3 linked regions of the Xenopus tropicalis genome follow. The main gene of each other region encodes a partner of the protein of the gene in region 2 in a complex. Links are inferred from orthologs where the notes say so. Each region holds a gene or a part of one and is shown on either strand. Other genes may lie near its edges.

Region 1 (4,220 bases), on a different chromosome or scaffold from region 2:
CATCTGCATCTTCCAAAGCTTTGAAGTAATCCTGCAAGTAAATAATTCACACTAAGTCAAAAATTCATATGGTGTTATGTACTAAAAGGTACTAAATTTGGCCTGGGACAGTAGCACTCAGTGATAAGTCACTAGGTAGTTTTTTTTTTTTTTTTACTGATCATCTGTTTAAACGCAGACATTTTATGGGCTGCACATGGGCAACCTTTTTATTATATATGGAAGTTTAAAAATAGGTAAAATACACACAATACATATGCAAATGTATATGACAACCAAATCTCAAACTGCCATACCTTTTTGCATGAATTATTTGTACTGTTTCCCCTCCTTAAATGTTATATTCAGCATAATGAAATACCAAACAATATATTTAATAATTTAAAGTAATAATGTAAAGAGTATGCAGCTGCCATCTTGTACTGTACAGGATCTACCAATGATACCTACTTGTAAAATTAATGTACCAAAAAAATAGTAACACCAAAAATACATGCATTTAAACGTAATGTACTGTTATCCTTCACTAGTACAAAGATAAACAGGAGACAGATGTCAGTTATGGCTCGCTACTGAACAATATACTGAAACCTCTGACATATAAAACATAATGTTGCAAATAAATTTTTATTTGGAGGTGCTTCATCAACAAATTCACAATTGAAATGAATATAAGAATATATTGTCACTTTTTGATGTTACTGGTCCTTTAAGATACATATAGCTCAGAATTTACAAGCACTATATAAAGTTATATAAGCTTATTTGTTCAAGTAAATATTAATTATTACACTTGTCAAAATATAACACATAACAAAAAATAACACCATATGCAAATAAACTGCATACATTTGAAGGGGATCTAAGCCAAAAAATAATATTTTGCCAAGTAAAGAAAATGTAATTCTAAGCAACAATTTTTTGTAAACGTTCGAAAGTTTGAAGTCGAAGTCTGACTTCTTACAGAACCTTGTGCAGTTGTCAAAAAATGTCTTGGATGTTTTAATGCATAAAAAATTGAAATGATGAATAATAAATGCAGGAGAATTAAAAGTTCAGAAACGTTCTGCAACATCTCTCAAGTGCAAAATATGTCAAGAATGAATAAAGATAAATCATTCCTTGTGTAGTCAATAAATTCAAAGTTGGATACCTCTGTATAAATAGTTTGCTACAGATACAACAAATTTTCTTTTTGCACTAACCTTTTTGATAGAAGCCATTTGTTCTTCCCTCCATTCCGGTTTATTTTTCTTAGCATTCATGAAAAACTCCCCAACCCTTTGTTCTAATTGGTCCATGGCATCTGTATTACAAAGAATCAATTACAAATTTCAAGCAACAAACCTCAAATCTTCAACCTTATCTTTACTGTGAATTTTAATATTGTATGTTGGAAGTTGATTATAAATTAACCTTAAAAGTTGTATGCCGATTTCTGATACAAGCACATCTTCATACAGTCAATATTCCACTGACACTATGTGCACAGATGGTACAACCCCACCAAAACACACAACAGATTTAGCGACTGTGCATGTAATTCAGCACCTGCTTGGACACAATTGTTTTAGAACTAATACAAACAGGGGAAAAGAGTGAGTTTTTTGTATGTTTGTTGAGGCTACCAATAGATGGCTTTCCATGAGACAGTTTAAAGCTATATATGCTATATGTCAGTTTCTCTCTTTTTTGAGAAAGGCTGGCCCTCCCTAACCCATCACCCATGAGCATAAAATAAAGTATTTGCTTGCAGACCTTACACAAACTATAGGGAACACTGCACACAGCTGCAAAATAATGATGCATGACATGTAGAACATCTTGTTTTATAGCTATATATAAGTTAAATGAACCTATTTACAAGGAAGAGGAATCAGTATCTGGAGCAAAAATAAAGTTTACTTGACAGTAATCCCTGCTGAAAGGCACAGCAGATAATGGAGCAGATGAAACCTAACAAACAGGTTTAGTACAAATTGTGCAAGGACAAAGGCACACTTTATTTCAGGTCATTATGCCTTTAATGTTCAATTCATTAACTCTAACTTAGCAATTCCAAAGGGGGCTATAGCCCTGAGCTATAGAGTGTTTCCTCCATTTTGAGTTTTCAATTATAACAAAACAATATAAACTTTATTGTGATGAACCCCTAGTGATACAAAACGAGTTTCTGAATACTATGAATCTGTGGGAAACAAACAGACACACTGTAGACTGCGTTTTATTTTACAAATCAAGATGCTGAGTATCTAATATTGCCTGCTCGACGCACCGATGTACAATACTGGGCAAGCAATTGGGATTTGTTTTGGTGCTAAAAGGGCACGTGTGAGACAGCTCAGTACTTCCTCCTAGCGACCAACCACAGCACTGCACTGGATGTACATGGTGCTTTAGCTGCTGGCGCTACCTCTGCCACCGACACAACCACATGTTTCCGGGCCTGGAGTCACCAGGCCACACACATACACCCGTTAGTCGTCGGATAAAGAGCCGAAAGCCGCTCACGTACTCTGCACCTGCAAGTCCATCTCGCGCATTTCCGTGAACCTGTCGCGCAGATCCATGGGAAGCTGCTCGATCACTGCAGAGAGACAGAAGGGAGGGGGAGAGGGCGGTTAATAGGGGGTGTTGCTGATTAAAGCCGTAGCCCTCTCTGTGGCGCACTTTGCGCCGTTCATAGCACGAAAGGCAAACTCACTCTCCAGATAATCCTCCAGGTACAACATATTTTCGATTTCACGAACGCAAAGGCCTCAGCAACGGATGACTATTTTTCCCAGACAATATGGCGCCGAGTCAGGAGCTGCAGAACAGAAAAGGAGAACAGCAGCTGCTTGGCGCATGCGCTGGCTGCTCGCACTTCCGATGTCAACGCCTTTTAATGCCGCAGGGCACTATGGGGATTGTAGTATTTTTGTCAGTTTGCGCTATACTCACTTTTGTTTTTGCTTGGCCGAGGTTCTTTAGAAGAAGAGAAACTTTAGGCTGTGGGATTAGGAGTGGTTTTTATTATTGAAGAATGGATGATTATTTTAAATATACTTTAATAAAATAATATAAAACTAGGTGGTAGTTCATCGGTGTGTAAAATGGTGGAAGAAGGGAAAGAGCCAAGATTGTTTGTAGACAATGCTCAGTGGAATAGTCAATACCACATATACCTGCTTTAGTTAGTTTCATCTTGAGCCAAATAACCTACCTGTATTTTTAGTTGTGTGAGAGGAAAATAAGTTTTGGAACACATCCACCAAGACCTAAAATGCCAGGACGTTAATTCCCTGGTCAAAATGAAACCCAGGAAACTAGAGCTGCTTTGACTTTGCATTGACAAGTGTAATTTTTACTAAATGTCATGGTACAATTCCAGCCAGGTGACATCCCTTCATTTTTGTTTGCACACGGTTGGGCCCATAGAGGCCCAGACTGGCAATGTGTGGATTCTGGCAACTGCCAGAGGGGCTGCTGTAACATGCTGTAGATAGTCACTATTTAGTGGGCTTGTGGGGGGCTGTTTGGGCCTCTGTGTACCTGAAATTCTATAGCCTATTTTGAACCCTAGTCGAGGCCTGTGCCTAAATCTAATCATTTACCTATTGTTAGTGTTATTAGGGATCAAAGATAACTAGTGTTTTGAAATCACCAATATTCAAATAATTTTATATTTTTCTATAAAAAGCAACACCCTGTATATATAGCATATAGGAAGGACAGCATTTTTTTCATAGAAAATGTAGAACTTAATAAAAATAAAATCATCTGCTATTAACTCACCACACTTAAGAACTTTCACCCCATTTTCTTATCCTGGTGATCTATTTATCAGTTGGAGCATTAGTAGGAAAATCTTAAAGAGTTACTGACACCAGAATTTAAACCATCTGTCATAACATTGTATTTGGATGCTATTTATAATGGTTTCCTTAAGAGTATTTGCCCAATGCTTTTATATTACCTATCTGATCCCACTTGATCAACATAAGAAGCTATAACAGACAAGTTGAGAAGTGACAGTCAGGTCAGCAAAACAGTCAGGCTTACTAATTAATACTTATTAATGTACATTAATAGTTTGAGTAGTTTTTAATTTTCAGTATCAATTTAAAACCAGGAACTTATGGTATTTTATGGGATACAGCATGCGACAAAACAGTTACAGGCTTCTCGGTTTTATTCAAATCCCTATTCCACTTCATGCTTCTGCTCTTTAATATTAC
Region 2 (3,500 bases):
CCCCATTTAAGTTCTAGCCTGTACTTGTTGCTTTTGCTACAGGTGCCTGACTCTGTGCTGAAGTTCCTTGCTTATTTAAATTATTTCTAGAGTGCTGTGCAATATGATTTGTAACTGGTTTTTAAACATAACCAGCTATATGAGCACAATGTTGGATGAGGAGCTCCACCTACTGGTTGGCACAGGCAAATTCACCTCAGCGCAATAACACAACTTTATTCAGCCTGATTACAGCTTGAAACGGTTTAAGTAGGGTACAGTGTACATCTGGTGGCTTCTGTTAATATTAAATGCTTACTACTATACTATTTAATTTTTTGGGGGAAAAAATAGCCAAAATAGGGTTAGCATACATTTTTGAAACCATTTTTATTGATTTTTTTTTTTATTTTTTTTAAATTAAGCACTATTTTAGTAGCCGTTTTTTTCTCTCTTTATTCAGGTATAACTTAGGGGACTTTAATGGCGAAATTCTATCAGAGGTTATGGCACATCGTCAACCATTGAAGCCCACCTATACTATCCCCCTCATGCCTATTTCTCCTATTCCATTTTTACATAAAGAAACAATAGATATTAAAGTTAATAAGGTAAGATTTGTTTATTTCACATAGTGTTTTTAACATTACCTTAATACTGGATTTTGTGGGTTCATGAATTTACAGACCATTCAGGAAACATGTTTCATTTATTAGATATATGCAAACCACTTGACCTGGTTAACTGCCTTGTCCTACTGTGACAAATTAAACGTGACCTTAGAATACAGCCACTCAGCACGGGAAACAATTTAAATACAACATCATCGAAGCTACAGGATAAAAAGATAGAGAAAAAGAATTATGCACTCACCATTTTTATTTCTCCGTATAAAGAGAATATATCTTTATAGTGGCTAATATATAATGTTTTGTATTGGTTTCCTGGTGAAGGCACATTTTGTGGAACTAGTGATAAGCGAGGATATTAATTGTGAGCAGTTCACATAAGCAAAGCACAGTTCTATCTTATAAATGGCGATTATTATAGACTGATGTCTGTAACAGTTATTAAATAACTGAATTCATATTTTAAGACCATTCAAATTCATTTTAGCAAGAAAAATCTGATGCTGTTCGACCGAAAAGAAAATATGAGAAGAAGCCCAAAGTCTTACCTGCTGCTCAACAGACAAGTCCTGCTGCACTGCCAGTGTTTAATGCTAAGGATCTGAATCAGTATGACTTTCCCAGCTCTGATGATGAACCTCTCTCCCAGGTATGCTGCTTTTATTATTTCAGGCTTCAATAAGTGTAATTGTGCCTCTTGAGACAGTCCTTTTGGGGGACATGCAGTGGTTGTTGGGGGCTAAGTAATGTAGGTGAGATTTGAGGTAAGGTTTTAGTTATTGGCTAGACACTCCTAAAACTGTTGCACACCTAATGTTAGTCTGTCTATAAAGATGTACGCACACACCGGTTTCTTGCATAAGTTTTATTAAGTGTTACATCACATTCCCGATTACATCCGCTAGTGAAATAATAAGATCTTCACAAAGCAGTGAAAGGCAAATGTTCAGGAAAGCTGTCAAAATAAGTCATTGCAATGAGTAATAGGAAATGTTGAGCATGATCTTCACTGGTGTTTTTTTCTGGTTTCTTTACCAGGTCATGTCTGGCTCCTCAGAGGCTGAGGAAGAAAATGATCCAGATGGTCCATTTGCTTTCCGTAGGAAAGCTGGCTGTAATTACTATGCTGTAAGTAACAGTCCTCATGCCTATACACAGACAAGTGGTGTTTGTTGTATACTAATAATAAAGGTTTTCCTCCTTGTAATTCCAAGCCACATTTGGACCAAACTGGCAACTGGCCATGGTGTAGTCCTGAGGAAGGAGGTCTTGGAGAAATTCGCTATAGATACTGCCTCACTACTCTCACTGTTCCCCGCAAGTGTATTGGATTTGCGCGAAGACGGGTTGGACGTGGTGGAAGGTAAGATATCTTGTTAAATACATTATAGCTGCTTTATCATCTGTAAGGTTACCGTAGTGACGGCTATATACTTTGTTGGCCCAGGTAATTACAGATGAGGTAATTTACCTAAAAATCTGGTTGTGCCAATGTGTGTCTCCTCTTTTAAAGGAGAAGGAAAGGTAAAAACCAAGTAAGCTTAATCAGAAAGGTCCATGTAAGTACACCTCACTCACATAAAAGCTGCACTGAGTCTTCTATCAAAAGAAACTCAGAAATTCTTTTTTTTTTATTGTTTAAACTTGTTCTTTGCTATCTCACTTCCTCTCGGAAAAAAATCCTTCAGAGCAGGGCACAAGTCTGTGCACCTCGCTCCCCCTCCCAACCGTGCTGTGTAATCTAAGCTACCAGCAGCTGGAGCTGCAGCACGGAAACTACTGAGACCAAGCTAAATTGGCAGCTACTATCTCAAAAAAAACAGAGGGAGCTTCTAGGGCTGTTTACTCTGATATGGTAAAGCTTTTTGCAGAACAAATATAGCGTTCTAGCTTGCACTAATGTGGCGAAAATATTTGCTGTAAAATGTCAAAATACCTTTCCTTGTCCTTTAAGGCTGGGCCAGCTAGGCATGAGAGCAAGTGGCAGAATGTGAAGCACCATATATCATTTATTTTGTCTGGAACTGCACCACATCCCTTTACATTTTATACTTTCAAAACTTTGTTTCATGCACCTACCTATGTTTAATTTAGAAGAAGATTTTAAATATTGCTCTATTTCCTATTTTTTAGAAACAGAATGCTTAAGTGTAATTAATACTGTCTCTTATTAAAGGACATGTAAACTCCACACACACAAATTTAATCAGTGAACAGCCTCTTTGAAATCTTTCAATACCTGCCACACTGGTTGTCCAGAGGTTAATAGTAAGGCTGCAACATCCCCTTAATCACTTAGATTTCCTTCTCCTCCTGTAACCCACTCAGCCCCCGCCCTCAGGAATTTGCTTTGGCTGTTGGCTTGTGGACATGCTCAGATTACTAAACACGCCCCCCAGTCTAGCAGCCAGTGAAGAGATGGCATTGCTGCTTCCTATAGAAACTCAGCTCTAGCTGTCTGCTTCAATTGTTTTCTCCTGAGCTCAGCTTTACCATTACAGTGCTCAAACAAAGCAGAACTTTTATCAAAGACATTTGTGCCTGTGTGAGCCTGTATCCTTGATGAAATGTATGCTGAATAAGAGTTTTTGTGTGTGTAGGCTGTTTGCAGATTTAAATGTATCAGAGAAATAATGGCCACCAGGTGAAAGCTGCTATTTGGTTTAGGAAAATGTGATGGTGCTGGCAAACGGAGGGGATATATGCAGTACAAATGATGCCATTTGGGTGGGGAAAATGTGCCCAACTGATAGACATTGTAGGCAAATGTAGGCTTTACATGTCCTTTAATGCAATCAAAGCTTGTTTTCAGTCTGTTTATAATTTGAGGGTTAAACTCTATTTCCCAATCTTTGTTTCTACAGGGTGCTCCTTGACAGAGCCCATTCAGAC
Region 3 (4,234 bases), on a different chromosome or scaffold from region 2:
ACATTAAAAAAGAAAGCCAATAGCTCTGCAGTGCACACAACACTGAGTAATACATCTTCCTTTTGTGTACAGAAAAGAAAGAAAAATCTGAACTTGATAAAATAATTTTCCCTGTGAAAATGTTTTCACAATAATTATTTACATTGATTTTCCAGTAAGTATTAAAAGTACGTGCAGAGAGAAGCAAAGTTTGCTTTGTTGTTACTGCAATTTTACAACTTGCTTTAAAGAAACATCAACAATTTAAAAAGTGTTTTAAAGTAATTAAAATATAATGTGCTGTTGTCCTGCACTGGTAAAAGTTGTGTGTTTGCAATTGTATAGCCACGGGGGAAGCAATTCAAGCTGAGCAATTGAGAAAATGCACAGCAGATGAGGTCTGTAAGATACAATGGTGTTTTACAGAGCTTAACTGTTATAGCAATGTAACCTGTGCCATTTAGCCCTGTTTCAATTTGAATAGCTACCCCCATGGCTACACAGCAGCTTTGTTTAAATAAACTGCAGAAGCGTTTCTGCAACAACAGACAACTTTTACCAGTGCAGGGCAACACTGTTCCTTCAACTAGAGCACATTGAGAGAAATGGCTCATCATTTGCACATATCCCTTTTTCTTTGAACATAAAATCACTTTACATACCCATTCCTGATTTGCCATCTGGGTATGTGTAAACCTGCCCATTGTTTTTGATAATGGGCAGACTGGATGGCAAGGGGGCGACTTCCTCTTCACTCTCATCCGAGCTGGAACTGCTGCTGGTGTCCTCACTGCAGCTATCATATCCGTCAAACATTCCGAATGAGTCCCGACGTTTTCTCTCAGAAAGTGAAGAAAGATCAGCCTAAACATGTATAAAAGAAAAAAGGAATTTCAATTGACTTTATAGCTTTGGTTGCTGTTACCAAACCCAACTTCTAGATGGATTTCTAGTTGCTATATTCTCTGCCCCAAGCAACCTTTCCTTCACTGGAAAGACTTCAGCAGGGGCCAAAATGCAAACCTGTATTTTCTTACATATATTATAGGAAAAAGACACTCATACTGGGTTGAGTAATTCTGGAATGGCTCTGTGCAATGAATGTTTAATGGAGATTGATGGGAAGCAGAAGAAGCAAAATATCGCTCTAGCACAGAAACCATAGCAACTTGTTTTTGCTTTCATTGCGATAATTACAATAAAAAAATCCCATGTGAATATGCCGATTTTGTTCTTCAGAAAAGGTAGGTTGGTCTAGGATCCTCCCCTTCTCTGCAAGAACTGGTTGCCTTTCTAGTTTGACTAGTTTAGCTACATAAGCAACCTTAAGGCAACATTACTGGATACAAACACAAAGATTTCTACATGAACATCTCACTGAATAAAACAGGATAAAAGAATAAAATAAAACCCATCCTTTCTTCCCTATTGGCATCAAGCATCTTCTTAATTACCAGGTGACAATGCCAATCTCAATTCCCATAAAGAAAGCGACAAAACCCAGCATCATTTTGAACTACTGATTTGTGGAATTACTGGCTCTACAACATAACTACAACAGTCAAGGTTTAATAATGCACTAGTACAGTACACAGACTTTAGCCTTGACTAGCATATGTGATTCTGACAAATGAAATAAGTATGCACTATTTAAAAGTGTGTAAAAAAATCTTTACATATTCTAACAATTTCTGGCTTCTAATAATAACAGATAGGTAATACAAATGAACCAACACAGAAGAGGCAAACAAATGGCTGGGTTGATAGCTGGAACCCACATTGTTAGCCTGGTTCAGGGCTGTGTGCAGAGACTGGAAGTTGAGAATTCAAAGAACAACATTGAAAACAAAATAAACTGCTTCCACAGTGAAACTGAAGACTGTCTTTTAGCCTTCAGCCCTAGTGTCAGGTTAGTGCCTTATAACCATAAATCACACACTCACACACAGCAAAGAACTTCTATTACACTCTGTGGAAGCAGCTATGGGACCCACTTGTTTGGCAAGGTTGCCAAAACATTAAACTGCTAATTGCTCAGAAGCATTTGCAGATTAGGGACAATGGGTTACAAAATTAGTGTAAAACAGACGTTATATTTATGAATTCCCCTAATAAATGTATAGCACACAAAGGCCTTTCATTACTTCCCACACTGATCATCAGTCTGCCTATTTTTTTGCCTAATGCACAACATAATACACTTTCAAGAGCAACTTGAGCTCCTATGCATGCGTTGCTGAATTATTGTGTGGAATGCACCATATATGAACACATAGGCATAACTTTACTTTTAATAGTTACTAAGTCAACAAAGTGGCAAATGAGATGGAAGGTGTGTATAATTCCTATCTGTTGGGCTTTGGTACCAATTCCCTACCTTTACCTTACTGAGCATCATGAGTGTACATGTAGAAAGTGCAAGCATACCAACAGCAGTCAGGCTGAGAGCTGGAGTGTTGAGTTTAACATGCCTATATCCTGCTGGCTTGCTATACCCTCTTCTTAAGGACTTTATTGTACATGAGGCTTAGTGTTAAACACATTTTGTCCGGTTTCCAAACGCACGGTACCCTGGCCCCAGCCCAAACTACCCTCACTTCCCAGAAACCACAAGGCCTCGTTGCATACAGAAATGACAACAAAAGAGCCAGGGCAGCAGCACTTCCATACACCCCGTGCCCTTTACTTACCAGATCCTTGGTCTTTTCCATTAGTCCCTCATGAGGAAATCGTGTATGCAGCCCCCGCTGTCAGCGGGCTGGGACAATCCAAGAAAATAGAGACTAAAAAAAGAGCAAAACAATGAACTCCTTCAAAATATCAACAAAACCAGAAACACTTTACTGCGCAGGCGCAACGCTAAACCTACAGCAATTGGCTGCGGGTTTATATAGTAAGAGCCGTGCCTCCGCGAATAACCTAGTTTGGCACGTTTCGGGTGCCGTGGCTTCCGGTGGCTTGTAGCTATTACGGAAGTACTTAGAACGTCGGAAAGTGCTAAAAACGGATTGTTTCACGTAGCGGTGCAGTAAGGGCTTTTTCGGATATACAAGTTTAAGTACACTCGAAAGGTACAAGGTAAATTATCTTGCTGCGTCTCTTTCGCTAGAAACATGTATTTCCGGGTTGTAGAGGGCAAAGGTCACCGGAAGTTCCACGTGCGTTGGGCACAGTGAGTGGAACGTTCAGCTTTATATCTGCGAAAGAAAACGGTGTCTTGTGCATGTTTTATATTGGCATTTGCACACGTTGTTGAGACTCAAGAGGCACGTCCCTCCTGTTTACTTGCTAAGCATTTCTATTTTTGCCGTCAGGTTTTTTTTTTGGAATTGTATATTGTATATTGCAAACTAGCCAGATTGATACGGTTACTACTGTATCTCTTAAAAATACGGTTCACTCATAAAAACACCTATTGCAGAAGTGATCAGTTATTATTTTAGAAGAATACAGATTAGCAGCCAGCATTCACCTCTCATTTTGTGTATTTCATATGTGGGCATTCTGCTAGAACTGGTAGTTAACCTTTGCAATGACTTTTATTATTATTATTATATCATTAGTTTTGTTTAGCAGCAATATAGTTGGGAGTTTTAGCAGCTATCTGGTTGCTAAGGTCCAAATTACCTAGGCAACTTTTTAACTATTACCTATTAGCAACTTTTTGCGTAAACATTAGCTCTGTATCAATTTATAACATGGCTGGTTTGTATTAGCAACTGGAAGATGGCATACTAGGGGAGATTAGTTACTTGTGGTAAATCTGTGCTGCCACAGGGACTAATCTGAAAGTGCTTTGGGTTACTTTTTAAGAAACTACTATGTTTTTGTTGAACTTTTTGAGTAAACATTAGCTCTGTATCAATTTATAACATGGCTTGTATTTAGATAATTTAAAATGAGTTTTTATAACTTTAATGTTTTTTTATTTATGCTGGTTTTACAGATTCTGCTGTGGAAATGCTTTCTATCGAGGGTAATGAAAATGAAAGAAAGAAGACTTCCCATAAGAAAAGGCGAAGAGACAAATCTCCAGAGCAAGAGCAAAACATGAAGGAGGAGGAGGAGCTGAGGACCAAACATTTAAAGGCTTTGGCAGACAAACCAGAGACAGATACGATTTTAGAAGAATTAGTTTTTGGGGGTGAAGATGAATTTGTGGAAAAGCTTATTGGTCATTCAAAGGTAATAGTACTCTCTAATAGCAATGTGTTAGGCTTCCCCACCAGTGAATCTATCTCCGACCTTACACCCC

What was found.
Region 1: epc1 (region 2) and ing3 share a complex: the UniProt entries of both Homo sapiens proteins name them as parts of the nuA4 histone acetyltransferase complex. The link is inferred for Xenopus tropicalis from reciprocal best matches to the Homo sapiens genes EPC1 and ING3.
Region 3: epc1 (region 2) and mbtd1 share a complex: the UniProt entries of both Homo sapiens proteins name them as parts of the nuA4 histone acetyltransferase complex. The link is inferred for Xenopus tropicalis from reciprocal best matches to the Homo sapiens genes EPC1 and MBTD1.

The regions. Positions count from the first base shown.
Region 1 is NC_030679.2:69,340,180-69,344,399, reverse strand, and holds the start of ing3 (inhibitor of growth protein 3), read right to left. Parts: upstream 2,801-4,220; 5' UTR 2,733-2,800; coding exon 2,705-2,732; intron 2,588-2,704; coding exon 2,516-2,587; intron 2,465-2,515; exon of another isoform or gene 1,417-2,464; intron 1,307-1,416; coding exon 1,206-1,306; intron 32-1,205; coding exon 1-31. UniProt on the Homo sapiens protein: Component of the NuA4 histone acetyltransferase (HAT) complex which is involved in transcriptional activation of select genes principally by acetylation of nucleosomal histones H4 and H2A.
Region 2 is NC_030682.2:22,943,313-22,946,812, forward strand, and holds part of epc1 (enhancer of polycomb homolog 1), read left to right. Parts: intron 1-442; coding exon 443-590; intron 591-1,095; coding exon 1,096-1,257; intron 1,258-1,646; coding exon 1,647-1,736; intron 1,737-1,822; coding exon 1,823-1,971; intron 1,972-3,472; coding exon 3,473-3,500. UniProt on the Homo sapiens protein: Component of the NuA4 histone acetyltransferase (HAT) complex, a multiprotein complex involved in transcriptional activation of select genes principally by acetylation of nucleosomal histones H4 and H2A.
Region 3 is NC_030686.2:23,317,743-23,321,976, forward strand, and holds the start of mbtd1 (MBT domain-containing protein 1), read right to left. Parts: upstream 2,801-4,234; 5' UTR 2,691-2,800; coding exon 2,670-2,690; intron 844-2,669; coding exon 642-843; intron 1-641. Other genes in the region: utp18 (U3 small nucleolar RNA-associated protein 18 homolog), read left to right, coding at 3,940-4,164. UniProt on the Homo sapiens protein: Chromatin reader component of the NuA4 histone acetyltransferase complex, a multiprotein complex involved in transcriptional activation of select genes principally by acetylation of nucleosomal histones H4 and H2A.